Schizosaccharomyces pombe: one gene and its partners. The gene in region 1 interacts genetically with each later gene. Each region holds a gene or a part of one and is shown on either strand. Other genes may lie near its edges.

The links.
Region 2: mutations in nur1 (region 1) and scs7 together harm fitness more than expected from each alone (negative genetic interaction), as found in Schizosaccharomyces pombe (2 studies listed by BioGRID).
Region 3: mutations in nur1 (region 1) and rpa12 together harm fitness more than expected from each alone (negative genetic interaction), as found in Schizosaccharomyces pombe (2 studies listed by BioGRID).
Region 4: mutations in nur1 (region 1) and dad2 together harm fitness more than expected from each alone (negative genetic interaction), as found in Schizosaccharomyces pombe (2 studies listed by BioGRID).

Annotation. Positions count from the first base shown.
Region 1 is NC_003421.2:447,390-455,446, forward strand, and holds nur1 (protein nur1), read right to left. Parts: upstream 4,375-8,057; 5' UTR 4,027-4,374; coding exon 3,076-4,026; 3' UTR 2,820-3,075; downstream 1-2,819. Other genes in the region: SPOM_SPCC4G3.12C (ubiquitin-protein ligase E3), read left to right, coding at 1-2,340; DNA repair protein Rhp42, read left to right, coding at 4,980-7,040; GTPase-activating protein Gyp3, read left to right, coding at 7,914-8,057. UniProt on the Schizosaccharomyces pombe protein: Has a role in meiosis.
Region 2 is NC_003424.3:4,054,984-4,063,645, reverse strand, and holds scs7 (ER sphingosine hydroxylase Scs7), read right to left. Parts: upstream 6,871-8,662; 5' UTR 6,689-6,870; coding exon 6,631-6,688; intron 6,611-6,630; exon of another isoform or gene 6,343-6,610; coding exon 5,357-6,342; 3' UTR 4,831-5,356; downstream 1-4,830. Other genes in the region: cpy1 (vacuolar carboxypeptidase Y), read left to right, coding at 1-2,136; SPOM_SPAC19G12.09 (NADH/NADPH-dependent indole-3-acetaldehyde reductase AKR3C2), read right to left, coding at 2,540-3,394; RNA-binding protein Rsd1, read left to right, coding at 7,629-7,682, 7,774-8,564, 8,661-8,662. UniProt on the Schizosaccharomyces pombe protein: Ceramide hydroxylase involved in the hydroxylation of sphingolipid-associated very long chain fatty acids. Postulated to hydroxylate the very long chain fatty acid of dihydroceramides and phytoceramides at C-2.
Region 3 is NC_003421.2:1,038,222-1,041,516, reverse strand, and holds rpa12 (DNA-directed RNA polymerase complex I TFIIS subunit Rpa12), read right to left. Parts: upstream 1,418-3,295; 5' UTR 1,385-1,417; coding exon 1,160-1,384; exon of another isoform or gene 915-1,159; coding exon 780-914; 3' UTR 501-779; downstream 1-500. Other genes in the region: Ino80 complex subunit Iec3, read right to left, coding at 4-143. UniProt on the Schizosaccharomyces pombe protein: DNA-dependent RNA polymerase catalyzes the transcription of DNA into RNA using the four ribonucleoside triphosphates as substrates. Component of RNA polymerase I which synthesizes ribosomal RNA precursors. Required for growth at higher temperatures.
Region 4 is NC_003424.3:2,782,142-2,790,080, forward strand, and holds dad2 (DASH complex subunit Dad2), read right to left. Parts: upstream 4,152-7,939; 5' UTR 4,008-4,151; coding exon 3,872-4,007; exon of another isoform or gene 3,841-3,871; intron 3,544-3,840; coding exon 3,395-3,543; 3' UTR 3,018-3,394; downstream 1-3,017. Other genes in the region: serine/threonine protein kinase (CK1 family) Cki3, read left to right, coding at 1-793; porphobilinogen synthase Hem2, read right to left, coding at 1,800-2,789; dynein light chain Dlc1, read left to right, coding at 5,929-5,937, 5,987-6,097, 6,158-6,373; protein Pop6, read left to right, coding at 6,949-7,236. UniProt on the Schizosaccharomyces pombe protein: Component of the DASH complex that connects microtubules with kinetochores and couples microtubule depolymerisation to chromosome movement; it is involved in retrieving kinetochores to the spindle poles before their re-orientation on the spindle in early mitosis and allows microtubule depolymerization to pull chromosomes apart and resist detachment during anaphase.

The DNA of each region.
Region 1 (8,057 bases):
GAAGACGGTAGTCGAGAAGCACATTTTGCTGTTCCTAGTGAAAATTATGCCGACACTCCATCTCGCAATACCCCAAATTCTTCGAATGGGTTCCCTTCCGAAACCCTGGTTACCTCATCCGCTCATTGTTCCACCCAACCTCATAAAGATGAAGCATATTCACATCATGGCTATTCAAGTACAATGGCGTTAGATGACAGTAGTCTAGCACAAACTTATCATGAGTATGAAGAAGGCACCTCTGGAAACTCCCCATTGAGGAGAGCGATTGGCTCTTATGATTTTCTTCATCCTCGTCCGTCCGGTAACTCCTCTCGTTTGGATAGGAATTCGTCACGCCCTTTTACCTCCTCCTTCCATTCTGCTCCATTTTTAAGTTCTTACGGCTCATCAAATGACCCTTCTCAAGAACGTGTAAACGAATATTCACTTCCCTCAAATTCAAATTCAACTTACACGACACCTCTTCAATCAATTAACAACGAACATCCCCTTCCCACTGTTCTGGAAAATAATGCTCTTTTAAATAACTCCGGTAACTCCCCTTCTTTAATAAACCATTTGCGTCAATATCTTAATCAAGATTTTAGTCGTCTACATCAATCCCCTTCACCCATCCCTAATTCTAATGATAATGACTCTCAAACCCGCCGGTCGTCTTGGTCATCTATCGCTTCTGCATTTAATGACTTTCCTGAAGAATTTCCGAATGCCAGCAATCCTGAAGCGCATTCGAATTTTACACCTCTTAACGGTAATGATGAAAGCACCGTCAATATGCTTAGCCGGTTACTTTCTGCTGCTGCCATTGAAACAGTTGCTTCAATTATGAATAGCGAAGCTAGGAATATGGACTCCCAGAATATGGCAAACGGTGAACCATCTCGCTTTCGTTCTGTTGATGGTTCATTTGAACAGTTCTTAACCGACCTTCGTAGTGGAAATTTGACTAATGTTCTTCAAAACTCTTCTCAAAATGGAAATGATCAAATTTCTTCTGACCCTGAGTCTAATTCCTCAGACCTTCAATACTTAAGGATGTTCCGTTTTCCGTCGTTTCATCAGTCTCACAATCAACCTGCCTCTAATAACGAAGCTTCAGATACAAATGGACCGGCTTTGGTGCCTGTCCTTATCGTTTGTATGCGTAGCATTTCCGAGACTTCCGAGGATCATGCGCCAACTATGACTCAAGAAAATCAAAGCCTTCATAACGAGAGTAGAGAAAACATATCCATTAACGATATAACCGAAAGAATGGCTCAGTCCACTGAATTTTCCACTGATCTTCCTCCTACATTCGAGAGAAGCAATTCAACTTTTTCACATCCTGAACCTACAAGAAGTGACTTTAGCCAGGCTTTTACGCCGGTATCCGATTTCCCTGCAAATCTTTTTCCTGGTTCCAGAAATTTGTTTCCAACGTCCAACTCGGGTAATCAATCTACTTCTTCGTTTTCGCGCTACAATCAACCTACTGTTTCCGTGGATTTAAGGAATTCAAGTATACTAAGAAGAGCTCAAGAACCTGTAAATGGTTCAACTGGAGAAAATCACATTGGAGATGATTACATTTCTTCATTATTGGATAGTTCAAATTCCAATTCACAACGACCGTTTTCAACAGTGCCTTCTGAATCAAATGTTTTTTCGAGGAACGCCTCCGGCAATTTCTCGATGTCACAAACTCATCAGCCGACTACCGATAATACCTCCTCATTTTCCACACAGCCTGGAAGGTTATCTACAGGACTCCATCATTTTCCGTCTGATCGAGATTTACTGTCTAATCAAACTAGACGTTCTAGCTTAGCACGGAGCTATAGATTTGAGGAACAACTTTCTGTTGATGATAATACTAGCGACTTTAGTACGTTGGCTTCCAATGGGGCTGCCGACATGGTTACTCAAACGCATTCAGAGGGAACTTTCTCTAATAGCACCCATGGTGATTGGCTTATCTATGTGTTTGGTGGTCTGTTTCCAGAACATCATCCAGTTTTGTCTACAGTTAGCTTGTTTAGCGATAATCCCATGTATGAAGACTTGTTGGCTCTTACTACATACCTGGGTCCAGCGAAGAAACCAGTCGCTTCTCATGAAGATGTGAAACGATCGGGCGGACTTTTTGCATATTTCGATGATGCTTCACTTTCTAGTGCTGATTCTTGTCTAATATGTTTAGAAACTTATACTAACGGTGACATATGTCGCAAGTTGCAGGCTTGTAAACATTTTTTCCATCAGGCCTGCATCGATCAGTGGCTTACCACTGGTAATAATTCCTGCCCGTTATGTCGGGCTCATGGGGTTACGACACAAGCTGAAGAGGAAAATTAATTTTGACTTGAAATTAAAGCTGGCCTTATTCTATGTTTGTTCACTCTCATTTATTTTCCTTCATCCGTCAAATTTGTTGAATAATTGTTCGCACTATTTGCTTGTGAATGAAATCTACATAATAGCTCTTCCCATTTTTATGGCTGCTATAACCTAAAACTGCTTGACCTTGTTCAACTATCTCTTTGGGACTTTCTCATTTTTCTCATTTATGACCTTATTGATAAAATTTTTGTAATTTTCTACTTGCTGCACGGAAACGAATTGTTTTGTTGTGCGTCTTTTGTTAGAAATAACAATTGCCTTTTTTACAAAGCTGAGTTTTTTCTAAAAATCATTTTAGTTAATCGGTTTGCACGTTTAATATAATTTATTTTCCTTTTAGAAATTTTGCTTCGATTTTTACATATTAGTTTAGATACAAAATTGATGCACATTATCACTTTTAAATATATTTTCTAACAAACAAGAGTATTCATATTTATAATCATGTAAGGATTTTAATAAGAGATCATATTGAATAAGCTTAAATTATAAGGATTTGGTTCTAAGTCGATCATCGAAAGTTTTTAGAATGACGGTGTTTGATACCCTAATTAGTCTTCATGAATACAATTATTTCAGGTCTGAATTGAGTTATGACTTAAAACTTTTCGAAAATAGGAATTAACAGAAACAACAATGATAAATGGAAATGCAGTGGGTCATTCAAAAACCATGTAATTCAGACAAATATTAAAAGCGAGAACTACCATCACTAAGATGTGGAAATCTCTTAAATGGTGAGCTGCTGTCACGACTAATTCCGCTGTCATGAAGATGATGAACACTTCTTCTTTGAAGCGCTATAGGGGTACGGGGTGTTGAAGTGAGATGATCATGTGAAGAACTTCGGTGTTCAAGGAAGGTATCTATGGGTTTTCGGGGTGTGAAATATTCAATAGATGCGGTTGTGGGACCACGAGTAGTATTAATGGCAACATCTCGTTTAACTACCGAAAGTCGAGGTTCTACAAATTTCTTATCATACTCAAAGAATACCTGGCGATGAAGATATTGTTGATCTTTCAGCAGTAAGGAAAATTTATTGACAAAATGCAATGTTGTAAACGAAAGGAGAAAAGTCAACAAAGTCACGCGTAGAGAAGTGCTATAAAACCATAAAATCAAGGCATGAGCAGGAGAAAATAAGCAAGCAAAATTTAGTAAAAATTGATTTGGGCTCCATACTTTCAATTCAAAAACTTGTTCATCGCCATCATCATTATTTGAGTGCTGGAAAACTGGTTTTACATTGGGAGTAGAAGTCGTCGTGCGTTTGTCTTGAGGCAAAGTTCTATACAGCTTATTTTGAAATCGAGTGCTAAATATGAAATTGAGAAAGCTGATGAAAAGAAAACAAATTGAGAGAAATGATAGGAAGGCACGAAACCAGGACCTAGAGGTGTTGATGGACTGCTTATCCACAAAGAGCTGGTTGCGTTGAACTGGTACATGCGTACTTTTTATATAAATGCGCATTAAGAGAAAAATAAAATTGACAGCCAAGCTAAAGGGAATCGAATAACGATCTGATACTTTATCCCACTCTACACTGTCAAATTGTTCGCAAACATAGATAAAGTAATCGATCGGAAGATTGATTATTTTAGAAGTCAGCGATGTACGACGGATTAACTTTCCCATTGAAAAGATTTTTAAGCAATGTTTTGAAATTCAGGTGTACTTTTTGAGTATAAAACAACGCCGAATTAGAAATGAAACAAACCATGGACCTGAAAGGTAAATTCCGATATTCGTATACTAATGAACGAAATTAGGGCACTTCTCCGTTTCAGGATTCAAACCTTACGTATTAATTAGAGTAGCAAAGGCTTTTTAATTAGCTAGGTCGAGCTTGCTATTATCGACTTCAATTGCAACAATGAAGGATAAAAAGTTTTTTATTAAGATAACTTTTTAAATCCGGTACGTAAACAAGTGTGCAATAAAAAAGAAAAAAAAAAGAATTTGCTTTCGCAGGTTGATGTTCCTAAGTATTGGTGTTATTGATGGTTTCAACTTTACCACTACTACTGCTGTGCAAAATCAGTCGTCGATTTAAAATTCCTATTTTTAGGAAATATAAGCTCGATCAGTGACATAAATTTAAACAGTTTCGTTTGACGTTTTACTAATTAATGAATTATTTCCTTAAAATTTAACGGCTGAAGTTTTTTTTGACTTATGTTTATTGTCTCTTATTAATAGTGATGCATGTGGTTTAACTTTTTATTTAATAATTTATTTTCATGTTATGTTTCAGATTTAAATTTTTTAAATCTTTATTTCACGGTTGAAATCAAAAGTAGTTAATATAGCTCATAATATTCAGCAAACAAACTACTCGCCATTCTTGCGCAGTTGATACTGACCTCTTTTTCAAAGGACTTTTTAATAATCATCATCACAGCCATTGTTAGAATTTTGCTTTCTTGTTGGAGAGATTGCTTGAAATAATAATTCTTTAACTAAGAATATATCAGATGTGGCTGTGATTACAACTTTTTATTCAATTTATCGTTATTGATATTATTTGAACCAGCGGTTAAACAAGCATTATCCTAAAGTTGATTCAATTCACATAAACTCTTTGCTCAATGCCACCCAAACGCAAAGCATCCAAGAACTCTGTTCGCGGAAGGAAACGTAGGACACGGACCAATAACTTACCTCTTAATCCTGAAGTGAAAGAGGAAACTGTTGTATCTTCAACTCACCGTCAAACTCGTAGCCAGTCGAAAAAGCCAAGTTTGTCTTCCTCAGCGGAACCTCCTTCTGAGAGTTTAGATGACAATATATCAGCGTTAAACTCACTTCAAAGGAGCGCATCTTCATCCGAAAAAGGTTCCGATGAAGACAATGAGAAGTTAGGCAGCTCAGAAGATGACGAGTTTGACGACGATTTTGACACTTGGGAACAAGTTGATCTTTCTCCTAATAAACAAGAAGATAAAAAAGATTTACACATAGTCACACAGCATATCACTCCTCAACTTACAAAAGAATCGAAGAAAGGCTCTTCTAGTGCAATGGATAAAAGCATTCGATTATCTATTCACATTATGCACTTTACTTGCTTGTTGTACCATGGGTCAGTAAGGAATCGCTGGTTAATGAATTCCTTACTTCTTGATGGGCTGCGCGATTTGCTTGTCGAAAAGCAACCGTCCGTAGTGGAGGCGTGGGTTTGTAGTAGCCAGACGCACGAGGATTTGTTAAAATTGTTAAATGGGCTTCGGATGTGGTGGAATAAATCTTTTAAAATTGAGAGTCATGGGCTTCGGAAGTTGGGGTATCGTACTTTGAAACAAGGATTTGATATCGGCTTTTCGCCAGAAATATTTCATAACTTTCATGAATACCAAGCATCCTTACTTTCGCTAAAAGGAAGCCGGGATTTGGCGGCACAGGGATTTACTGCTCTCTGTCGATCTCTGAATCTGAAAGCAAGACTTATATTTTCTCTTCAACCTTTGACATTTTCTACTGCTTCCTATGATGATTGGTCTCCACATATCCTCCCTGAAGAAACTAGTACATCTATAGATGACGACCTCCGCTATCCTATTTTTTGGACGGAAATCTATGATCAAAGTGAGAAGAAATGGATTGCGGTAGATGCGGTTGTCTTGAATGGGGTATATACCAACGATATGACTTGGTTTGAACCCAAAGGAGCGTATGCAGAGTCAAAACATCTACGAATGGGTATTGTTGCTGCATATGATAACGATTTATACGCAAAAGATGTAACTTTGAGGTATACAGATTACCAATCAAGTAGGCTTAAGAAAATTCGACACGTTTCTTTTGCAGATAAGTATTTTGATTTTTATAAGGCTATTTTTGGGCAACTAGCAAAGCGCAATAAAGATGCAGAGGATATATATGAAGAGAAAGAACTGGAAAGTAAAGTGCCCATTCGCGAACCTAAAAGCTTTGCAGATTTTAAGAATCATCCTGAATTTGTATTGATTAGACATCTTAGAAGAGAAGAAGCATTGCTTCCTAACGCCAAGCCTGTGAAGACAGCAACCTTTGGTAACGGTAAGAAAGCTACCTCTGAGGAAGTGTATCTCCGAAAAGATGTGGTCATATGCAAAACGCCTGAAAATTATCACAAAGAAGGACGAGTAATTAAGGAAGGAGAACAACCTCGAAAAATGGTGAAGGCGAGAGCCGTCACAATTAGCAGGAAGCGTGAACACGAATTTCGGGTTGCTGAAACAAATGAACCAGTGCTTCAGGGTCTATATTCTTCCGATCAAACTGAGCTATATGTTCCGCCTCCAATCAAAGATGGTATTATTCCTAAGAACGGTTATGGTAATATGGATTGTTTTGTTGAGAGCATGATCCCCAAGGGCGCAGCACATTTGCCATATCGAGGAATTGCTAAAATTGCCAAGAAACTCAACATTGATTATGCGGATGCAGTTACAGGGTTTGAATTTCGTAAACATCGTGCGATTCCAGTTACTACAGGTATAATTGTACCTGAAGAGTCGGCTCAAATGGTTTACGAAGAATTTCTTGAGTGTGAAAAAATCAGAATAGAGAAGCAGCAGATGAAAGAGAGAAAAATTATTTATGGGCAGTGGAAACACTTGCTAAATGCACTTCGTATTCGAAAGCGTATTGAAGAACAATATGCTTAATTCCTGGCTTTCGTCGGACACTTTAGGGTTTGTATAACCGGATGTGTGTTTTTTGAACAATGAGGATACTTAATTCCAAACGTTAGACTCATTTATTTATTTATTGTTTTGCAAAATTGACATTTGGTTATTTGTGAAGTATTTTATTTATTTAAAGGAAAAAGAGGAAGCAAACTACCAAATTATCTAATATTTTATTGATTTAAAAAACCCCAGATTTTTATAGCACTATTTTTCATATTGGTGGATCACACTCTATTTTTCGCTTTATAGATCACCCAATTGCATTACCTTGCCAATCGTACTACAAATTTTTTGTTTGAAGGAACAACGACTTAATAAAATAAAATAAAAATAAAAATAAAAATTTTCATTACACGGTAATATCCAAGTTGCTTAAAAATAGCTAAGTCGTAAATTTTATTAAAAAATTAGATATATTCATATAATATTAATACTTTTTAGCATTTTTTACGAAAAAGATGTAGTAAATATAGTTTAGAAGGAATCTTATCATGAGTGTTGCTAAGTACCTCGGTAACCTCGATATTATGGTATCATGGTAGGCCCATTTAACACCACCACGCTTTGTTGCAAAAGCGCGTACTATGCATATATTCTTGGCGTTTACCAACCACGCATTTTAGTCATATAGAAAGTGGAGCATAAGAAATCTGGTTATTGAAAGGCAATTATTCATTCAATTACTCAAAAATCTCCCAGCTGGGTAGTAATGGTACTGGAAAGGAATTTTTATGAAGAAAGCATTGTTGAAGAACTAAGAGATTTTTTGAAAGAAAGCCAGAAGCCCGAAGCACCAGCGTCGCATGTGTGATAGTCAGGGAATTCTCGACATAAGAAGAGAATTTCAAAATGGCTGGCATCACTGAACATTCGACGATTATGAATGATGCAAATTTTAAAGAGGAGAATGCTCACCTGTCAGATGCATCAATCCACTTTGGAAGTAGTGAACAGGATAAAACACCTTCAGATTATGAATTAGATGATGTTTTA
Region 2 (8,662 bases), on another chromosome or scaffold:
CACGAACCTGGAGAGCACATGCCTCCTCCTCCTATGCACCACGAACCTGGAGAGCACATGCCTCCTCCTCCTATGCATCACGAGCCTGGAGAGCACATGCCTCCTCCTCCTATGCATCACGAGCCTGGAGAGCACATGCCTCCTCCTCCTTTCAAACACCATGAGCTTGAGGAGCATGAAGGTCCTGAGCATCATCGTGGACCTGAGGACAAGGAACACCATAAGGGACCCAAGGATAAGGAGCACCATAAGGGACCTAAGGATAAGGAGCACCATAAGGGACCTAAGGATAAGGAGCACCATAAGGGACCTAAGGATAAGGAGCACCACAAGGGACCTAAGGACAAGGAGCACCACAAGGGACCTAAGGACAAGGAGCACCATCAAGGACCTAAGGAGAAGCACAACGAACGTCCTGAGCAAAACATGCAAAGTTCTCATGAGCTTTTGGTCATTGAGGCTTTCGCTGACCTCATCAATTCTGTTCCTGTTGAAGAAATTGCCGAAGAGTTTTCTCGCTTTTTAGACACTCTTGGTATTGAATACTATGGTAACATTCCTGTACATATTCAAGAAAATGCCCCAAAGGATTCATCAATTCCCCCCCTATTTGAATTCGACGATGATTTGGAGTTGAGTGATCTCACTCCTGAACAATTTGCCTACCTTGAAATGCTCAAGGCTGAAGGTATTGATCCTATGACTGCTTTCCGTGACCAGAGTCATCCTGCTAAGCCATCTAATGCTCAACCTGCTGATTCTTCACGTCCCTACGCTGTTTTTTCACAAGAAGAGAATGGTGAACATGTAAATTTAAAGGCTTTCCCTGATCACACTCTTCGCGTTAAAGATTCCAAACCTGAATCACTTGGTATTGACACTGTTAAGCAATACACCGGTTACTTAGATGTCGAAGATGACAGACATCTTTTCTTCTGGTTCTTTGAATCTAGAAATGATCCCGAGAATGATCCCGTCGTGTTGTGGTTGAACGGTGGTCCTGGTTGCTCTTCCCTTACTGGTTTGTTCATGGAATTAGGTCCTTCTTCAATCAACATTGAGACTCTTAAACCCGAATATAACCCTCACAGTTGGAACTCCAATGCTTCAGTTATCTTTTTGGATCAACCTATCAACACGGGTTTCAGCAACGGAGATGACTCGGTTCTTGACACTGTTACGGCTGGTAAGGATGTTTATGCATTCTTGAACCTTTTCTTTGCCAAGTTCCCTCAGTACGCTCATTTGGACTTTCACATTGCTGGTGAATCCTATGCTGGCCATTACATCCCCCAGTTTGCCAAGGAAATTATGGAGCATAACCAAGGTGCTAACTTCTTTGTTGCCAGCGGCTATGAAATGGAGAAGCAATACATCAATTTGAAGAGTGTCTTGATTGGAAATGGTTTGACTGATCCTTTGGTCCAATACTACTTTTACGGAAAAATGGCTTGCGAGAGCCCTTACGGTCCTATTATGTCCCAAGAGGAATGTGATCGCATTACTGGTGCCTATGATACCTGCGCTAAGCTAATCACTGGCTGTTACCAGACTGGCTTTACTCCTGTTTGCATTGGTGCCTCTTTGTATTGCAATAACGCTATGATTGGACCATTTACTAAGACTGGACTCAACATTTATGATATTCGTGAAGAATGCCGTGACCAAGAGCACTTATGCTACCCCGAAACCGGTGCAATTGAGAGTTACTTGAACCAAGAATTTGTTCAAGAAGCTTTGGGAGTTGAATACGATTACAAGGGATGCAATACTGAAGTAAACATTGGTTTCCTTTTCAAGGGTGACTGGATGCGTAAGACTTTCCGTGACGATGTCACCGCAATCTTAGAAGCTGGCCTACCCGTTCTTATCTATGCCGGTGATGCTGACTACATTTGCAATTACATGGGCAATGAAGCTTGGACCGACGCACTTGAGTGGGCTGGTCAACGTGAGTTTTATGAGGCCGAATTGAAGCCTTGGAGTCCTAATGGAAAGGAAGCTGGTCGTGGTAAGTCTTTCAAAAACTTTGGTTATCTTCGCCTCTACGAAGCTGGACACATGGTTCCTTTCAACCAACCCGAAGCTAGTTTAGAAATGTTGAACAGCTGGATAGATGGTTCTCTTTTTGCTTAAAGTGTCATCAGTTGGACATTTTACATCTACTGAATAGTTGATATGAACCGAATATGACTGACTATTGGCTAATATACAGTAGCCATAATTAATCTTTGCGTTTTATTAATTAAATTGATTTTAATATTTGAAAGATATAATGATGAATTACATAAATATTTGTTTTTGTAGTAGTAGTAAGTAACGCTGTTGGAAAACTTTTCACTGTAAGTATTTCTTCAATTCTCGCGGTTTGTGTCGTAATAGTAACAACATAGTTATAATTCCCGACCAATATTACTACGCCGATAATTACTGCATACAAAAATTTTTGGTTTAAGATGTAAACAGTCGATTGTAATTGAAATAGATTGTCCATAACTAAGTGCTTCGTAATAAAAATTATCTTGATCACATAAAAGTATTACTCATCCATGTGCTTCATAAATGTACGCTTGTGATGTTGAACACCTAAGGTACCAAGTTCGTCAATGTCAGCCTTGTCTAGAGTGAAAGAATCAAAATTCAAGCACTCCTTCATACGCTCAATTTTTGAGGTAGTAGTGATAGGTATAACGCCTTTAGAATAGGCCCACTTGAGAAGAATTTGAGTATCAGAAACATGGTACTTGCTCTCCAATGATTTAGTGAATTCAGCAACAGGACCTTGCGCATCACGAACCAAGGGAGAAAGAGGGCCATAACCCTCAACGATAATTCCTTTACTCTGGCAAAATTCTACAAGAGGCTTCGCGGCCTTGTATACTTGAGGGTGAAATTCGATTTGGTTGACACGAGGAGTAATAGTTGAAGTTTTCAACAGCTCCTCTAAGTCGGGAATACGAAAGTTAGAAACACCAACTGAGTGGACAAGACCGGTTCCCAAAGCCGTTTCCATTGCTTTCCAACCTTCAGAAATGGGTATTTTCTTTTCATAGAAAGGAATAGGACTATGCAAAAGGTACAGGTCCAAATAGTCAGTACCAAGCTTACGTAAAGATTCGTTGAGGGCTTCAGGAATGTTATCGACATTATGCATAACCTTGGAAGTAATAAAGAGTTTGCTTCTTGGAACATTAGCTTCCTTCAAAGCCACCCCAACTTCCTCTTCGTTGCCATATACTTCCGCGCAGTCGATATGAATGAAACCAGCAGCAAGTGCATTCTTTACCGAATCTACAATGGTTCGATTGATTTCTCCCTTTTCTTTCTTAAACAAAGCTGTACCAACCCCATAAGCAGGGACGGGAATCTTAGGGCCCATAGCAGCGATAAGCATGTTGAAAATGTTAAGAGTACGAAAGAACTTGAAAGTAGAAAAAGAGTAAGCTACAAAGAGGCGCTACTTTAAAAGTTGCAGGATAAAAATTGTTAAATAGAAATGAATGGAATAAACGTTAAACCGAGATTTTTGCAAGCAAAAGAAAAGAGAATCGCAGCAAGAATTAATAAATTTCTTCTTTAAAAATGCTCTGTTTAGGTGAAAAGAGTGCGAGAAAGGGCCGTATATCGCTATTTATATAGATTTCCAAAAACTTAGTCAGATGACATCAGCCAAGTCTGGCTTGGCATACAGAATATCTGACTGACGTTGTGCAGCATCTAAGAGAGGAGTCTTTGGAACTTTAAAATGAAGAATTATCTGATCAGATAAGGAACAAACGTGTAACCAAAAGCAGATTTGTTCCAACTAAACAGTGTAAGTTGAATAGAAAACAGTTTTACAGGCAAGAATAAGTTGAACGTTAGATTCGGTATTTAATTGATTTAGCAATATTCAATTCTTGAATGAATCCCTCTGTTTTAGCTGCGAGGATTATCTTCACCACCAGATGAGTTGGCGGTTTTTACAGCATATTCTTACCTATAATGTTAATAAATGTAAGGTAGTTACCATTAAGCTGTAGCGTTATAATAGCAATGCTTTAATCATAAACAATGCTTACTCAGTTTTGCTAGATCATTTTTTACTATAGTCTTTATCGGCAAGAAATTGAGGAAACTCCTTCAAGGCATGATGATCGTAATCATTTAAGAAGTCTTTGACATGTATTATGCATCTAAATGTCAGAGGTTGAGAAAAAAACAAATAAACAAATCTGAAAGTGTCAGGAAAATGACTTGGCAATAATTCAAGCTTATTCATGTTAACCAACGTCAATAGTAATGGTTAATAACTCGACGTCCGCTTAACAAACACTAGGGTAAATTTACCTGCAACTTGTAATTGAGGAATTCTAAACGCATTCCCCACAAGCTAGTTTCTGTTAACAAATATTTTTATAGATTTTGTCTAAAATCTATTTTCTGGTTAAATAATCAGTAAATTGCTACACTTTTATTCACAAGAAAACAAATTTTTAAAATAAAAATTTATTAGTGAAATCCTATATGATGATTTAAGTTACCCTAATACTCAAAAAAGGAAGGTTGTCCGAGTGGTTATGGAGCTAGTTTAAGGCACTAGTGCGAAAGCTCGTGGGTTCGAGTCCCACACCTTTCATTACGATCTTTTTAATAAATTTTTTTACATTTTATAAACAAATGTAAAATGACCCTTAAATATAGTTAAAACATATATATTGTGGATATCTCTATTCATCTTCTTCCTAAATTTTTCGTCTCGGCGTTGCATATTTGGTCAACAAAAACTATTCAGCGCTCTTATGATATGGAGATGCTTCTACAAGAAAATCATTTCGCACTACAAACAGATGGGGTGGTAAAAACAATTAAAAATTCGAATTATATTTAAAAGACAGATAAAAGGAAAAATAAAATAGCAACCTTAGACTCAAATTATATAGCCGATAGTCAAGATAATATTATTAAGTTCGACTTAACAAGGTAAAGTTTGAAAACTTGTTCAAAAGAAACCAGAAAATAGTATTAATAGAAAAGAAGAAAGACAAGACAATTTCAATGTGGGATACAAGATGCTTTAGCGAGTGGATCAATCAAATTAAATCAAATTTGATGTTTCTGCAATTCAAATATAATACACAGCTTTAAGGCACTATAATAAGGCCTAGTTAAAGTCAGAGAGAAAATGGGGGAAAATTGCTTAGTGATTTCAAGGGTAAAGAGAGGAGAAAAAATTTGGAAAGCAATTAAAAAAGAAAAGAAAAATACAACAAGATTTATATAGCACACAAAATTATTGATAGTTAAAAAGGACCAAAGAAACTTTTAACACCTTGAAAGCAATTTAGCAGCTAAATGATTCAAACGCAATCACAATCTACTTAGCCTTAGTGCTGATCTTTCCCTGTTCGTTGAAAAGAGGTCCCTCAGTTCCAAAAACACGGTCCCAAAACCAGCTGGTGATACCATAGGCAGACTTGTAATCCTTGTAGTGATGGTCCAAATGCCAGGTCTTCAAATCAGTCAAGTAAGCATTGGGCATACGACGGTGATGTAAGAAATAGTGGGTAAGATCGTAGAAAACGTAACCAAGAATGGCACCAGAGAAACCAGCAACACCAATGTAGTGAGGAAGAACAAGTTGAATAAAGTGATACCAGGGAGTGGCAAAGATAAGGAACAAAGCAGGAGGCATTACAAGACGGTACTTGTCAGCAGGTAAGAAGTGGTGGCAACCGTGGAATGCGAAGTGCATAGTCAAGAAAATAGGATGATCAGGGGTGTACTCATCCAAGTGGAAGAGGAAACGATGCATAGTATATTCAACCAAAGTCCAGGTGAATAATCCAATGATGAAGAAGGTGATAGCAACAGAGAAGGGAATTCCGGTACAGGCGTACAAGAATCCATAAGTGACACAGGGAACCCAAATCAATGGAATCATATACCAAGGGGTCTTGGTAAGAGGCTCCAAAAAGTTTCCAAACAAAGGAGCAGAACCGCTGCCACGGTAATGACGGGGACGGTGAACTTGGTCCAAATAAACATCCTTCTTGATGTTACCAAACAAAATTTGGGGCAATAAAGGCTTCTTGAGGTCAAGGAAATGGTTCTTCTCGAAATCCTTGTCAAGATCGGTAGGCTTGACAATGAATTCATTGCCATAACCGACACCAATGTTCTGGTCGACAAGATCACTGAATTCCTTATTCTTCAAAGGAACCTTAGCACTTTTCAAGATCTCAACAACAGCTTCAGAGTGCTTGGACTTGGAGGTAGCATTAAGGATATCAGCAACCTCTTGGCGGTGATAGCGACGAAGCAAGTCAGCAGCGTCCTTGTTGGCAACCAAGTAGTTGGTGACTAATGGAATGTTAGTATAAAGAACGATACATGTATTTTGGTGTAACTAAGGCAAAGGGGGAAAGGTGAAAAAAAGTTAAAAGCACAACGAACAAAGAAAAAAGATAAGAAATGGCACATCTCCCACAATGGATCTTTTGCCAATAAGCCTTTGCTATATGCGTTTTCATTGTTTTTTATACATTGCCTCTCAAACACTCTGTTGCCGAGAAAAAATTTTAGTCCTTCAACCAAATCTCCTTCTCAAAACCCAAACACCCTGCCATTTCTCCTTGTTTAAATACTTACCATCGTATTCAGTGCCGTCAGAAAGGATAACACACTTTTCACTAGTAACAGAGGCCATTTTGGAGATGGGAGTATGAATTGTTAATTCGTGATAAAACTGTAGCAAGCGTGTTTCTGATGAGTTTGATAAACAAATACAGTAAATATTACAACGTAGCAACTGATCCTATGATTCTTTACTTGGATTTTTGTCCAATTGATCAAAATGTCAGTTCTTTGTTTGTGTTGCGTTAATGGCACGATGTTGTGGCGTGGATGCAGTAGCCTATATATGTCGCAGGAAAGGGCAAAAAGGCATTGCGGGGCGAACCAAAAAATCGTGCTATTTTTGATCGACTTTTCCGAAAAATGGTAAGACAACGGAAAACAATATTTACCGTATCGCAAAACGGGTTCCGAAACTGAACACCAGAAAATTGCACTCAAGGGCCTATACACAGGGAAAGAACAGACGAGTGAAGTGCTTTACAGATACAATTCATTGATTTATTCATAGTAGACTAAAAATTATTATTTGCGAAAAAATACTTGAAAAGAGAAAACCTTAAGTTGATCGAAATTTATTAACTTTTCGTGATTTACTTTTCGTTGGTTTGGTTAGGTATAATTTTGTTTTCCTTCCTTTCCGTTTCTTTGCTTCTTATTGTCGGTAATTGTTTTTAGCTTGGAATTTCCTTATTCCGCTATTCCTCGCTTTCTTTTTTGTTTGTACTAAAATTTCTCTCATCTTTTATCGCTTAGGCAGTAGAATATTCCACTTTTTTTTCCACCGAAAGAAAGAGGACAAAATAGCTCAAAAGAGTACTCATTATTAATATTTTTTAACAAAACAATTCGTGTTAGAAGCGACGAAAGCTACTAGACTGACAAAACTCCATTTTTACTAGCTTACTTAGTTTTCCAGTCGAAGTCTGTTCCGATCCTGTCAGAGTTTGTTGTATTGAAAACGAAAATAAACGAACGTATTTTCCACGCATAGATAAACAGATCTAATCTAAATGCAGCTGGACGCGGAAGCCTTGGCTGAGGCTCCTTTTCGTAAGCAAGAAGTGGTACGTTTACAATTTTTTTCCTTCCTTCCCGCCTTTTCCCTTTGTTTTTTTGTCTTCCCGTGTTTATTGTTTTTACTAACCCTTTTCCTAGCCGCAAAATCAAGAAAATCAGCAAAAGGCATCTTCTTCTTTTCATGAATCCTCACTCACCTCTTCCACTCATAGTCATCCCTCTAACCCTCCTCCACCGCCTACACGGTTGCATGATCGCTCTTTCAAACCCGTGTCTAAAAATTACGAAAGTGAAGGTCGTCTAACTCCTCCTCCCGTTTCAATGGGTTATCGGTACGCCAGATCTTCCAAACAATCTTTTCAACGAGAGGATAGCGGTTATAACGATGATGTAGTTACAAATTCCTCAAGTCATCGCACCCCAAGACACCATAGGAGATCATATAGTCCAAGGTCCGATTATGGTAGTCGCTCTCCCTCTCCTCACTCTTCTGTAGATTCTCATCAAAGTAGATCACCCGTTCGTTCTCGCGATCGCGATCGCAGTTCAAGGTCAAGTCGAAGCCGCCATCCCTCAAGTCGTAGTCGCCATCGATACGATGATTATTCACGCAGCCCTCCTTACTCTTCGCGGCATAGTCGTAGTCGTCGCCGCTATGAAGAACGCTCCTCTCGTTCTTCTAGAGCCCATGATTATGATTATGAGGACTTGAGGGATGATGACCGTTCACATGAGCGTAAGAGAAGTCGTTCCCGTCCTCGTGAACGCTCCTCTAAACTTTCAGAGGAAGAGCGTGATCGCCGTACTGTGTTCGTTTCTCAACTCGCAAATCGTTTGACTTCTAGGGAATTATATGATTTTTTCGAACAAGCTGGTCCTGTTCGCGATGCTCAAATTGTTCGAGACAAGATTAGCGGACGATCGAAAGGGTATGTCTTATAATTTTTTTTTTTTTTTTAAATAGATATTATTCTGTTTTTTTTTATTTTTCAAATTGGGTTCGTTTGCTAACGAATATAATATAGTG
Region 3 (3,295 bases), 590 kb from region 1:
TACGCATTTTCTAATAAAATTCTGCGATAAACTTCTGATATTTCAGCAATCTTTTGTTCAATTTCCTCTGTTTCAAGGACTACCGAATCAAATGACTTTCGAAGTTTTAAATATTTTCGTTTAAAGGATTTAACAGACGCCATATGTGAAAAGGCAGGTGAGAATATATTTCAAATGGTTGAACACCTACCTGCCCATTTGGGCTCTTGAGTGTTACGGTACATAGTACGCTCCATTTCGTTACACATTCATTTCCATATTAGAGAAAAAGAAATAAATAACCGATATACTACTATTCATAAAATGCTGATAAACATTGAAACTCAAACTCTTTAAAAATTCTGAGAAAGGAAGTATCCACAGGTTCAATCGTGATAGACAATGAATTTTCTCTATTTAGTTTGAACCAGGAAAGACAATAATGAATAAAGGAATAAGTTATACCATATTATTTTTTAAACAAAAAGTAACCCCGAAAAATAGAACCAACAAGAACAGAAGAACTGTTATTTTTTTTAACACCTGGATAAAATAGAAGACAAAACAAGAAAATCGGATATCAAGAGCATCTCTTTCTATTTCATGAACGTTGCCGTATTACTAGACAAATAAAATTTATCGAGCATGAAAATAACGGAAGCAGAAGGACAATCGAAGATATTAAAAACAATAGTCTTCATACAAATCAGTCAGCATACATACATGAAGAACGGCGTAAGAAACAGTGAAATATTGAGAAAATCACAACCAAAAGAATGATTAACAGATGAAAACTCAATCTAATTGTTTGTACTAAATTTATAAGCACATCGAGGACATTCGTAAAACACCGTAGAACCTTCATCAGCAGACCTCAATTGCAAAGTATGGAAAGTCATATGGTCGTTTCCACATTTTGGACATTTTTCCTCAATCTACAAAACTTTGTTAGTATGGCAATAAACCCAAAAAAGGACTATGATAAAGTCCTTTGCCTGACTGTGCCGATTTTTCAATTCACTGGATATATGATACAAAAAAGTTCCTTGATTAGACTCTCCTAATGCATTCTTAAAAAAAAAAAAGTTTTCCAAATGATACAAAGCCTAAAAGGAAAGAAGAATGACAACCAACATGAAAAAAAGGATTCGAAAAGAATAGACAAAAATAAGTTACATACCGTTGCTGCCTCCTCCTTCTGAGATTCTACTTGAACGATACTGTGCTTGAGTTTTAAAGCAGAAGGAAAAGCACTTGCACTACTCTTCGTTTCCACTACCAAATTGGCAAATTGCTCAGAAGGATAAACGGATTGACACTGATCACAAGTAGTCCATTGGGCAGTAGTCGATTCCAACAAGTTACCGCATTCTGAGCAAAATATCAAAGACCCTATTGCCGACATTGGGATTCCTCCTTGCTTGATGGGGAAGGCACTGGTGTTTATGACAAGCTAGTTTGTCTTTGACAAGTGCAATTTTCTTTCGCTGTAACTCATTATTTTGCGGTAAGTGATGGAAAAGCGAGTGTATCATTATCGTAAAAGCCAATACACACTGTGAGCGACTATGATCAGTATAGTGCCTTAATTAGTAAACAATAAGCTAGAGATGAGTAAACGAATTTCCTGATCTATTGATGAACATTATGCTAAAGGCATAAATTACAGACATTTAAAAATCATTCGTTTTTGTAAAGAAATTACTTATTGATAAATCAACCTTGGAATTCCAAGTTGGGGAATTTAAAAAGCTTTCTCGGGAAATTTCACCTATATAAGTATTGTATCGTTGTTTCTGGAAAAAATTCGGTAAGAAAAATTTCTTTGTATTTTTTCAAGCATCAACTAATTGTTTGAAGCTATTTCTTGCTACTTTAAAATTTTGTTGCCCAAACGATTTTTGTCTAGCTGGGCAATACTTTGTTCAAATACAAAGCCTGTCACGGAATACAGAACAAGATTTGTGTACATATATACTAGCGACTTTCAAAATCGTTGTACCTTATAAATTGTGCTTTTGATTATTTAACAAATTCTTCCTTATCTCAAAAGAAAATTATTTTGCTTGATTGAATCATCAATTTGGAAATCATATTTTGCACTTTAGGTATTTTAATCGTAATTTATGTGATAAGCTTGGAAATAATAAAAAATATAAGAATAATAAAAATTTAATTTGTCTGTACGTTGCAACTATTACATGTACAACAGAAAAGCGAACAGATAAATAACAAAATGCAAAAAAAATACTACTAAATAAAAGAAAAAACAAATAAATTCAAAAGATATAGCATTAATAAGAAAAGAGATCACCAAAAAAAAAAGAATCATATTCACGATTTCAATAAAAAGGTCTGTGTATTTTCTACAAAGGATTTGGCATTATACTTACTATTATGTGTTTTCCACTACTTGAGCGTTTCAAATCCATTATGGTTTTGAAAGCGCCTTTGTCTATAACCGCCATAACCCAGTCCATCTGTATAGGGCTCGCTTCCGTATTCCTATATTATGCAATGTAAGGTTGATTTTCTATTTTGGTAAAACAGAGATGAATATGGCATGTTTTTACTAGTGAGATTATTGTGCTGTACCCGACGATTGACAACAGTGGGACTTGTTTGCTCTAGTTATTTAGAAGCAAAAATTTTTTTCCTCATATCTCTCTCTCTTTCTGGGGTAGTCCTTTTTGGAAGAGTGCAACGTGACATAGTCTATGGGATTGTAGGCAACAAAAATGTATAGGAAGAGTTATTGTTGCTACATAATGGAAATTACTTAGTGAGTACCATATCTTGTCGGTGAAAATGGATATTTACTTTGCCGATCATTGCGTAGCTCGGTTTTTGCCAAGGAAAGAAACAAGTAAACCAGTTTGGTAAAGAAAAAGGATGATAAAAAAGGTTAGAGATTTTAAGCGTATCTAAATAAAGGTAAGATACTTTAAAAGTACGTTAAAATCTGTGTCTTGTAAAATTTCCATTTGTAGAATTGTTGCATAAGGATGGAGTACCACTGCTTTAGTATAGTTATACGTAACCATGAGTTGGTTGTCTGTAGGACATAGCGAGAAGATTGAAATTGCTATACGTAGTATTTTAGTGTTTTTGGTTAACTTGTTAATAGACGTTTTTTTCTATTCTTTTTTCTCTTTCGTTGCTTAGATGATTAGTGAGTTGTTCATTGCTTTCTTTGAATTTAAAAGGAAAATAAAAGGGTATAACACAGTATTCATCATCATTTACAACATATCCAATCTTGACTGGCATGCATTTTTTCAAAAACTCAAACAGTGCGATTGACTGCTTGTGCATT
Region 4 (7,939 bases), on another chromosome or scaffold:
TGAACATAAGAGTCTATCTGGTACTGCACGTTATATGTCTATCAACACACATCTTGGTCGTGAGCAATCACGAAGAGATGATTTAGAATCCATGGGACACGTTTTCATGTATTTCCTTCGAGGTAGTCTTCCCTGGCAAGGGTTGAAAGCTGCTACAAATAAGCAAAAATACGAAAAAATTGGTGAAAAGAAACAAGTCACTCCTTTGAAAGAGCTATGCGAAGGATATCCAAAGGAATTTTTACAGTACATGATTTATGCTCGGAATTTGGGTTACGAAGAAGCTCCAGATTATGACTACCTACGAAGTCTGTTCGACAGTTTACTGCTTCGCATCAATGAAACTGATGACGGAAAGTATGATTGGACTCTCCTAAATAACGGAAAAGGATGGCAATACAGTGCAGCTAAGCAACATGTCGTCCAACGTCGACATACTCAGGGTACTAATAACAGGCGGCAGTCAACTATTCCTCCATATGCTCGTACTCGCCAGAATTTGCTCTCTAGCCCAAGTAAGCAAACTCCAGTCAATAACGTGGTTGATGCCAGTGTTGCGACGCAGAAAGATGGTATACCAGGGAAAGCGGCTTCTCCCCAAGTTCAACAACAACAGCAAACTTCTTCCGCTCAACAGCAGCAACCGCAACGGGTGGAGCAACCTGCTCCTCAGACTACCCAGCCTACACAGGTAGACACTCAACAAGCTGCTAAGCCTGCGCCCTCGAAAGAGAAATCACGAAAGAAGTTCCATCTTCGCTTACTGTCTTGCTGCATATCGAAACAAGAATAGTCATGATTATTCAACGTCTTTCCTTCTTGTCTTTCACTGTTATGTCGATACTTTTTTTATTTTTTTCCCATTATTAAATATCCGCTTACAATTTGCAACATAATACGTCCATACGATTCCTTCTTTAAATTAATTCTTCCGGAATCGTAATGTGACGTTAATCCCGGCTGCTTAAATTACATTGCTTACTGTTGTTCAAAAAAAAAATGCTCACTAGATGAGATTCTGTGTTTGTTGGCATTCTTTTTGATTTTGAAATTTTTGAACGTGTTGAGGATGAAGATTTTGATTCTAATTAGTACTAATTGTTGTCCTACCTTATATACATAGATTCATATTATTACTCCAATGCATTATGCATCATATGCAATTGAAGAGCGTAGAAGCATGTTCCTTGTCGTTGCATTTTACTTTTGAATCATTTGCAGCTGTCATACTTTTTCATTGTAAGTTATATCGATATATACATAAATAGTCAGAAGCTTCACTGAGCTACCAAATGTTGACTCATAAGGTAAAAGATGTTTGAGAAGAACATGCTCCAATTACTTTGGGTGAAGTATAGTGAATATTTAATTTATCTTATCATGCTAGAAAGTTATAGTCAGTAAACGTGGATAATGTACTTTACTTTATTCTAACTGCCATGAAGTATTGAGACAAATCTATCAAATTATATAAATTAAATATTAAATTTTTAACATGTCCGTTCATCGCTTGCAAAAGGAGTCAATAGGATATCACGATAATTTGGCAACCTACGGTTGTCTAAGATAAAATCTTGTTCTACACACGAATTTAAAGTATTTTAAAAGAAAGAAAAACAATTTCTTTCGTAAATAACTGCTACAGATTATAAACGAAAATTTTTAATAAACAAGAACCGGTAATCGCAGATTCGAAAAACAATTTCATAAGTGAAACTCTAGACCATTAAAGAATATAAACAAAATAATTTTTCAATCATGATAATTTTGAAGATGATTGATTTCGCATTATTTTTTGTTTAATATTCTAGCCATTCCAATAATTCAGGAGTAAAGTAAGTCAAAACTATGTTAGCGCCAGCACGCATAAAGCCATCCATGGTTTCCATCACATGTCTTTTTAATTCAAATACGCCAGCGGCAGCAGCAGCATGAATAATGGCGAATTCGCCTGAAACTTGATAAGTAGCAATAGGAAGGTCATCTGCTAGCTTAGAAGCCATTGCCAAAATATCGAGATAAGGTGTTCCCGGTTTTACCATAATACCATCAGCACCCTCTCTAACATCGCGAAGAATTGCTCTTTTGGCCAAGCCACGTGCATTACAGGGAAGTTGATAACAGCTGCGATCACCAAATTTTGGGGCACCATTAGCAGCAGCTCTGAAAGGACCAAAAAAACCAGAAGCGAACTTTGCAGAATAGGAAATAACGCATACTTTATGAGACAGTTCCAACTCTACAAGTTTCTGCTTAATCGCCTTAACACGACCGTCCATGCAGTCACTAGGAGAAATTATTTGAGCGCCTGCCAAGGCATAATTTCCACTAACTTCAGCAATTCTCTCAACGGATTTAGCATTATTGATAGTGCCATCTTCATATAACAGACCACAGTGGCCGTGATCAGTATACTCGCAGAGACAAACATCACAAGCAACAACCAGCTCCGGAAAAAGGTGACGAATTTCTTTAACGGCTTTAATAACTGGTCCATTTTCGGAATCGGCCATGCTACCACAATAGTCCTTTTTGGACTCGATGACACCAAACAGAATTACACTACGAAGACCTTTTTTGACGAGAGGACCCAAAAACTCTTCCAATCTATTAACACCCCATCTAAATTGATTAGGCATGCTATCAATGGCTTCCTTAGCATCATCTATTTCGGAAATGAAGATAGGATACATTAGAGATGACTTGGTAATGGGACGTACACCTTGCCATTCACGAAGCAACGGGTTTGAATACCCAGCATGCAAAAGAGAACTGATATCAACAGGCATATTAAATACTAACTGACAAAATTTATTTGATTTTTCCTAAAGATGTAAAACTGCGTAAAAAAAGCAGATTTGTGACAAATGGAACTAATGGACCAGCAAAAGCGCCTTTTATTGGTTATTTAAAAAAGTTCTAGCGGAAGATCAACAAGATTTCCTAAGAAATATTTTTAAAAAGGTAAGTGGCAGATGGCGAGAGGTTGGCGAAGGTTAAGATAAATAAGTTTAACTTTTTTTTAAAAAATCGGGCATCGGACCACGATATTTGTTGATTACATAACAATAGTATCACTCCTGAATAAATTGTTTGTCCTTGAAGAAATTAATTGTCGTAAGGGAATGCTGGGAGTATTCAAACAAGCGAAACAGGACGAACGCCAAAAGAAAATGACCAAATGAAAAATTTAGATATCATTTAGTTTACAAGGTGATCTCATTCTCCATTTCATTAGGAAGTGAAGATACTTGGAACTTGGGTTTGCTGTCGGCTTTACCAATTCTGAAATAGAAGAAACAATATGAATAAATGGACAGAACAATAATATTTATTTTAACCAATTCTTGGCCTTTTCTACTTCAGTGAGAAATTAAAAAGAGTATTTAAGTCTTTATACCTCTTCAACATCGCCTTGCTCCGTAGCAGATGCGTTGGTATTTGAAGTAGAAGGAGGAATTCGGACTAAAGCTCCTGAATGTTGGGATGCTATCTGTATTGACTCAAAAATGCTGGGCCAATTATTGAGAACAGTAGCAACAGCTGATTTTGTTAGTGATTTGAGTGTCAAACATTTATTATAATGGATTAAAAAGAGTCGTCAAGCATGTATGAGTAGTAGTGAAAATAGAAAAAATAAATAAATAAACAGATTATATTTTTTACGTTTAGGTGAATTATTGAGAGGTAGAAGTTCATTTAGAGACATGTCGGCAAATGATTGCTTTTATTTGCAATCCTGCAGATCCAATCAATTCACTTGTTTCTTTGCTTTTCTCAATGTAATGATATTTATACTTGTTCACATGAATAGCACTTAAACAGATTGGTGACAAGGCTCTTTTATATACTTTCCTCGTAATGAACATACCTTCACTTCCATCTGTTAAAGTTTCCAATTTAGCAGCAAGCGTTTCTATTTGTTGAACCATATCATTAGAAGAATCTCTTAGTTTGCATATTAGTTCGTATTCCTTTTGCTTTTCCTCAATCCTTGCTTGAAGCATGTTCACGCCAAATGTTTGTAGAAGAAGGTACGAAATTTACTAGATTTATCTCCTACACCATATAAGGCGATTTCGGTTTTGTAATTATACGTTTAAAACAAATAATTTCCGTTTCTGGAATTTTATATCTCGGAATGTATTACTAATAAAGAGGTTGATAATAGAGACTAACAAAAAATATAATGATTGATTTTACTCAATTTTAACCATTTGTTTTCATCTTTAATAAATTAGTTAGTTCATTAATTTAAAGTAATAATGAATTTAGGAAACTATGTTGAATAGTGAATATAATTACTCAAATAATGGGTCAAGTTTAGCTAGCTTATTATATCCATATTTTACTAAGTAAGTATGCATTGCTTCATCCCTCTAAAGTTTTAAAGAGGATCAAAACTGTGCATATTCTCTACTATTTCTTCTTTTATTTTTATTTTTATTTTTTTTTACACAAGGTATAATGGGCTTAAAAGACTTTTAAGATTTGGGTTCGATAGTATATTCTTTTGGTCAACAAGATTGTCAACGTTCCGATACATAAGGAAATGAATTTTTTATTCTAGACAGGATGCAACTTCCACGTATGTTTTCTAAAATTTGAACCGTATTTGACTAATTTAAAAATTCATAAAATGTCTCATCCACTATTGAAGTTTCTTCAATGATCGGTTCCAACGGGTCGTTAAAGAATACCCAACTTTTTTAGAACAAATTATAATAGAGTGGCTATTATCCATTTCTAATTAACAACTTTTTAACATACATCAAACCCTTGTTTACATGGTAATCGAGTATTTTCCTTCGCAAAAATTCACTATTACTCCAAATACTCAGTTACTGAATTGTTCGATCTCACAATTAAATTTCGCGCAGTATGTTATTATATTCTATATACAGTTTTAGAATAACGCACTTTATACATGGTTTTCGGCAATAACGTTTACATTTATATAACAATTAAACAAGTTATAATACCGTTATATCACAGAATGTCCCTGTAAATAAAAGTCAGTAAATAATCTATAGGAAAGAAAAAAAAGGAAAAGGATAAAAGGGTTAGGGGATTGAAAGGATCATTGATTTAAAATCTTTGGGTAGTAGCATCTTTATGTATCGCAGTACCGATGAGATCTTCTCCATTTTTGTAAAATTATTGAAAGAACTAATGGTAGGAATACTAAACATAAATTATCTTGTAGTTTTATTCAATGATCAAATAGTTAAAGATTTGGATGATTTCGCTACATTGATACTTGGATTCTATGAACAGCAAAACAATCGCTTTCCCTTCATGCTGAATTAACATTTCGATAACTAAAAACAGATTCTATACACTTTAAGTTCAGAGAATTTAAATTGTTGTTTTTTCCTTCGGCCCGTCTTCAAAGAAACACACTCAATTCATTACTGAAACTGGACTTGCTAAGAGTATTGTTAAAAGCGTAAAGCACACATTAATGTCTTTTGGTAATCCAAACACCAGTAATTATGTGTAATTATGAGTTTTTTCGATACAATTATTACGGTTAGAGGAAGACATGGTTTCCAAAATCATTATGCATTTCTTTCGAAATCAATTATCGATGTTTCAACCATCAACTGTTTTCAAATTGGTATTAATTAAAGAATGTAAGAAATAGAAATAAACGCTGTTTTCCTTTAAAGCAATACTTGATGCTTTATTTGAATTATCTCATTCATCCCAACGTGAAGTTGACGATTCGCTGTAAGCGAAAAATCCTTACTTAACTTCAGGTTTAAAGCAAAAAGAAATCAACAATAAAAAGAAATGTTAACGTGAGTTATGTTCGCGTTGAACTTTGTATCGATGGGGTTGTCACCGTTAAACGTCGTACTAGCTGTGGGTGTCTTTATCTCACTGCGTACCCTCCTTGTACTCATCAAAATACCCCATTTCGAAATGAGCTGTGTAAGTCGTCAAATACGCGATTCGTTTACTAATTTGATTATGAAAATAGCCTATAGATTCCAAAAAACTTGAAGAAATTTGCCTAGAAGCTGCTCAGCCGGTTTTGAAGGCTTCCGAATATGACGGAGACAAAACAGCTGAAATGAATCAATCTGTTATTGTAAGTTCATTTTATTTTACAAATATCTATGTATGGTAGCTAACTTTATGTCTCATTTAGTATGCCGTATTAAATGCTTTGAATAAGGAAACCCAGTCTTACAAATGGATTGTTAGTTCCACTCTTGTACAAAAGCTTCCCGAAGATCATCCTTCTAGAGGCGTTCACGCAGCTCACGCTGCTTGCTGGAATTGTGAAAAGGATGGAATGACTACTATCAAAGAGAGCGGTGAGGCTATTGACGTAGTATTGAGCATTATGTGGATCTCCATTTAATTACCATATTATCGAAACTGTTCCAATCATGATCATCTTCAAAGACCTCTTTGTTTCATTCCCTCTTTTTATCCCCTGGTACCAGTTTTTGCCTTAGATGCAAATTGCCTTTAACTTTGCAATTTACTAACTTTACTATCTACTCTTCTTTTCTACTTATTCCTATTATATGCAATCTACGATAGTTACGTTTCTTAAAATTCAGACATTTGTGAGCGCTCTGTAACATGTTCGTATTTTATAAGCATTTTGGTGTGTATACGATTCGTGTTCGTCCTTTTTCCAAAGGTTACAAAGGACGTTGAATCGTGTCAGTATTAGCTTGATCGAGCTTTACTTTGCTTGAACTCTCTAAGACTAGCAAGAAACTGAGGTACTTACAATAAAAATAGCGAAAAAGATTTTAAATTTGTTATATCATATACCTTTGCTTTAAGATTAAAATCATACATCTTTTTACAAGGCAGTAAAATGTTGTTTCAACTATGTAATTTATTAATTAATGTTTGGGAGCACCTGTCTAACTACCACGTTATTAGCCTACTAAACGCCATGCAGGCTTTTGCTTATAAACTATGATAATAGAGAAAAGTATAAATGCTAAGCAACTTTCTTTAAAGTTGTGGGATTCTTTTGTCAAAGAAAAACAAGTTTCTTTTGTGGCTGAAGGAGATGCTACTGTAAAACTAGTAAGTCTAGTTGAACTATTAAAACGTCGTTGTAACGAGCAGAAAATTCCCTTTAATCAAACGATTGAATTAATTCCTAGCGAGGAGCAGTCTTCTGACACTTTGATACACGGAAATCGGAGATCACTTCCTCAGTTGAAGATCGACCTACAGATTTTGGAGCATGACAGCTAAATAATACGCAAATTTTTACTCTTTTCAAAGTTACCAAAAATATTCTTCTTTCATTTGTATTCATACTTTATAGACGCTAATTCCCTGAACCAATCGATTGACAATTTACCAGTTTACGAGTTATATTACTGTTACTTTGTGAGTTTTTTGTTATAAATGATAGTACATTAATCGATGAAAACTCGATTTACCTTCTTCAATAATTGATGACCTGCAATGTCCTTTTGCCAATTTGTAGACGTCTAATATTATTTTTTCCATTCACGTCTTTGCGAATGATGCTATGGTAAAAGGGTTGAGTGGAACGAAATTAATTCATAATGCTGTTTTTTTCGCACATGGAATGGTTCAAATTGTGAAAGTTCGCTTTTTGGTCGCTCCAACGCTGCGAACAATAAAGTTTTGGATCTTCAATTGATTTCATCAATTCACTCTTATCCTCTTTTTTTTAGATCGCTGGTTCTAGCTTACACTGTATGATATGAACCGCTCTAGAAATTGGAATGAGATTCAATTGGTGAAAGTGAGGATCAAACTTGTATGGCTACGGAGTTTTTAATGGAGAGACACACCTTTAAGAATCTAAAGGCCCCATACAATAGCGCTAATCTTATTATTAAAAGCACTCTTATGGATTTCTCCGTTTTAGAGATGATACCAACATTATTTTCAAGCTGACGCAAGACTATTTTGAGTATGTATT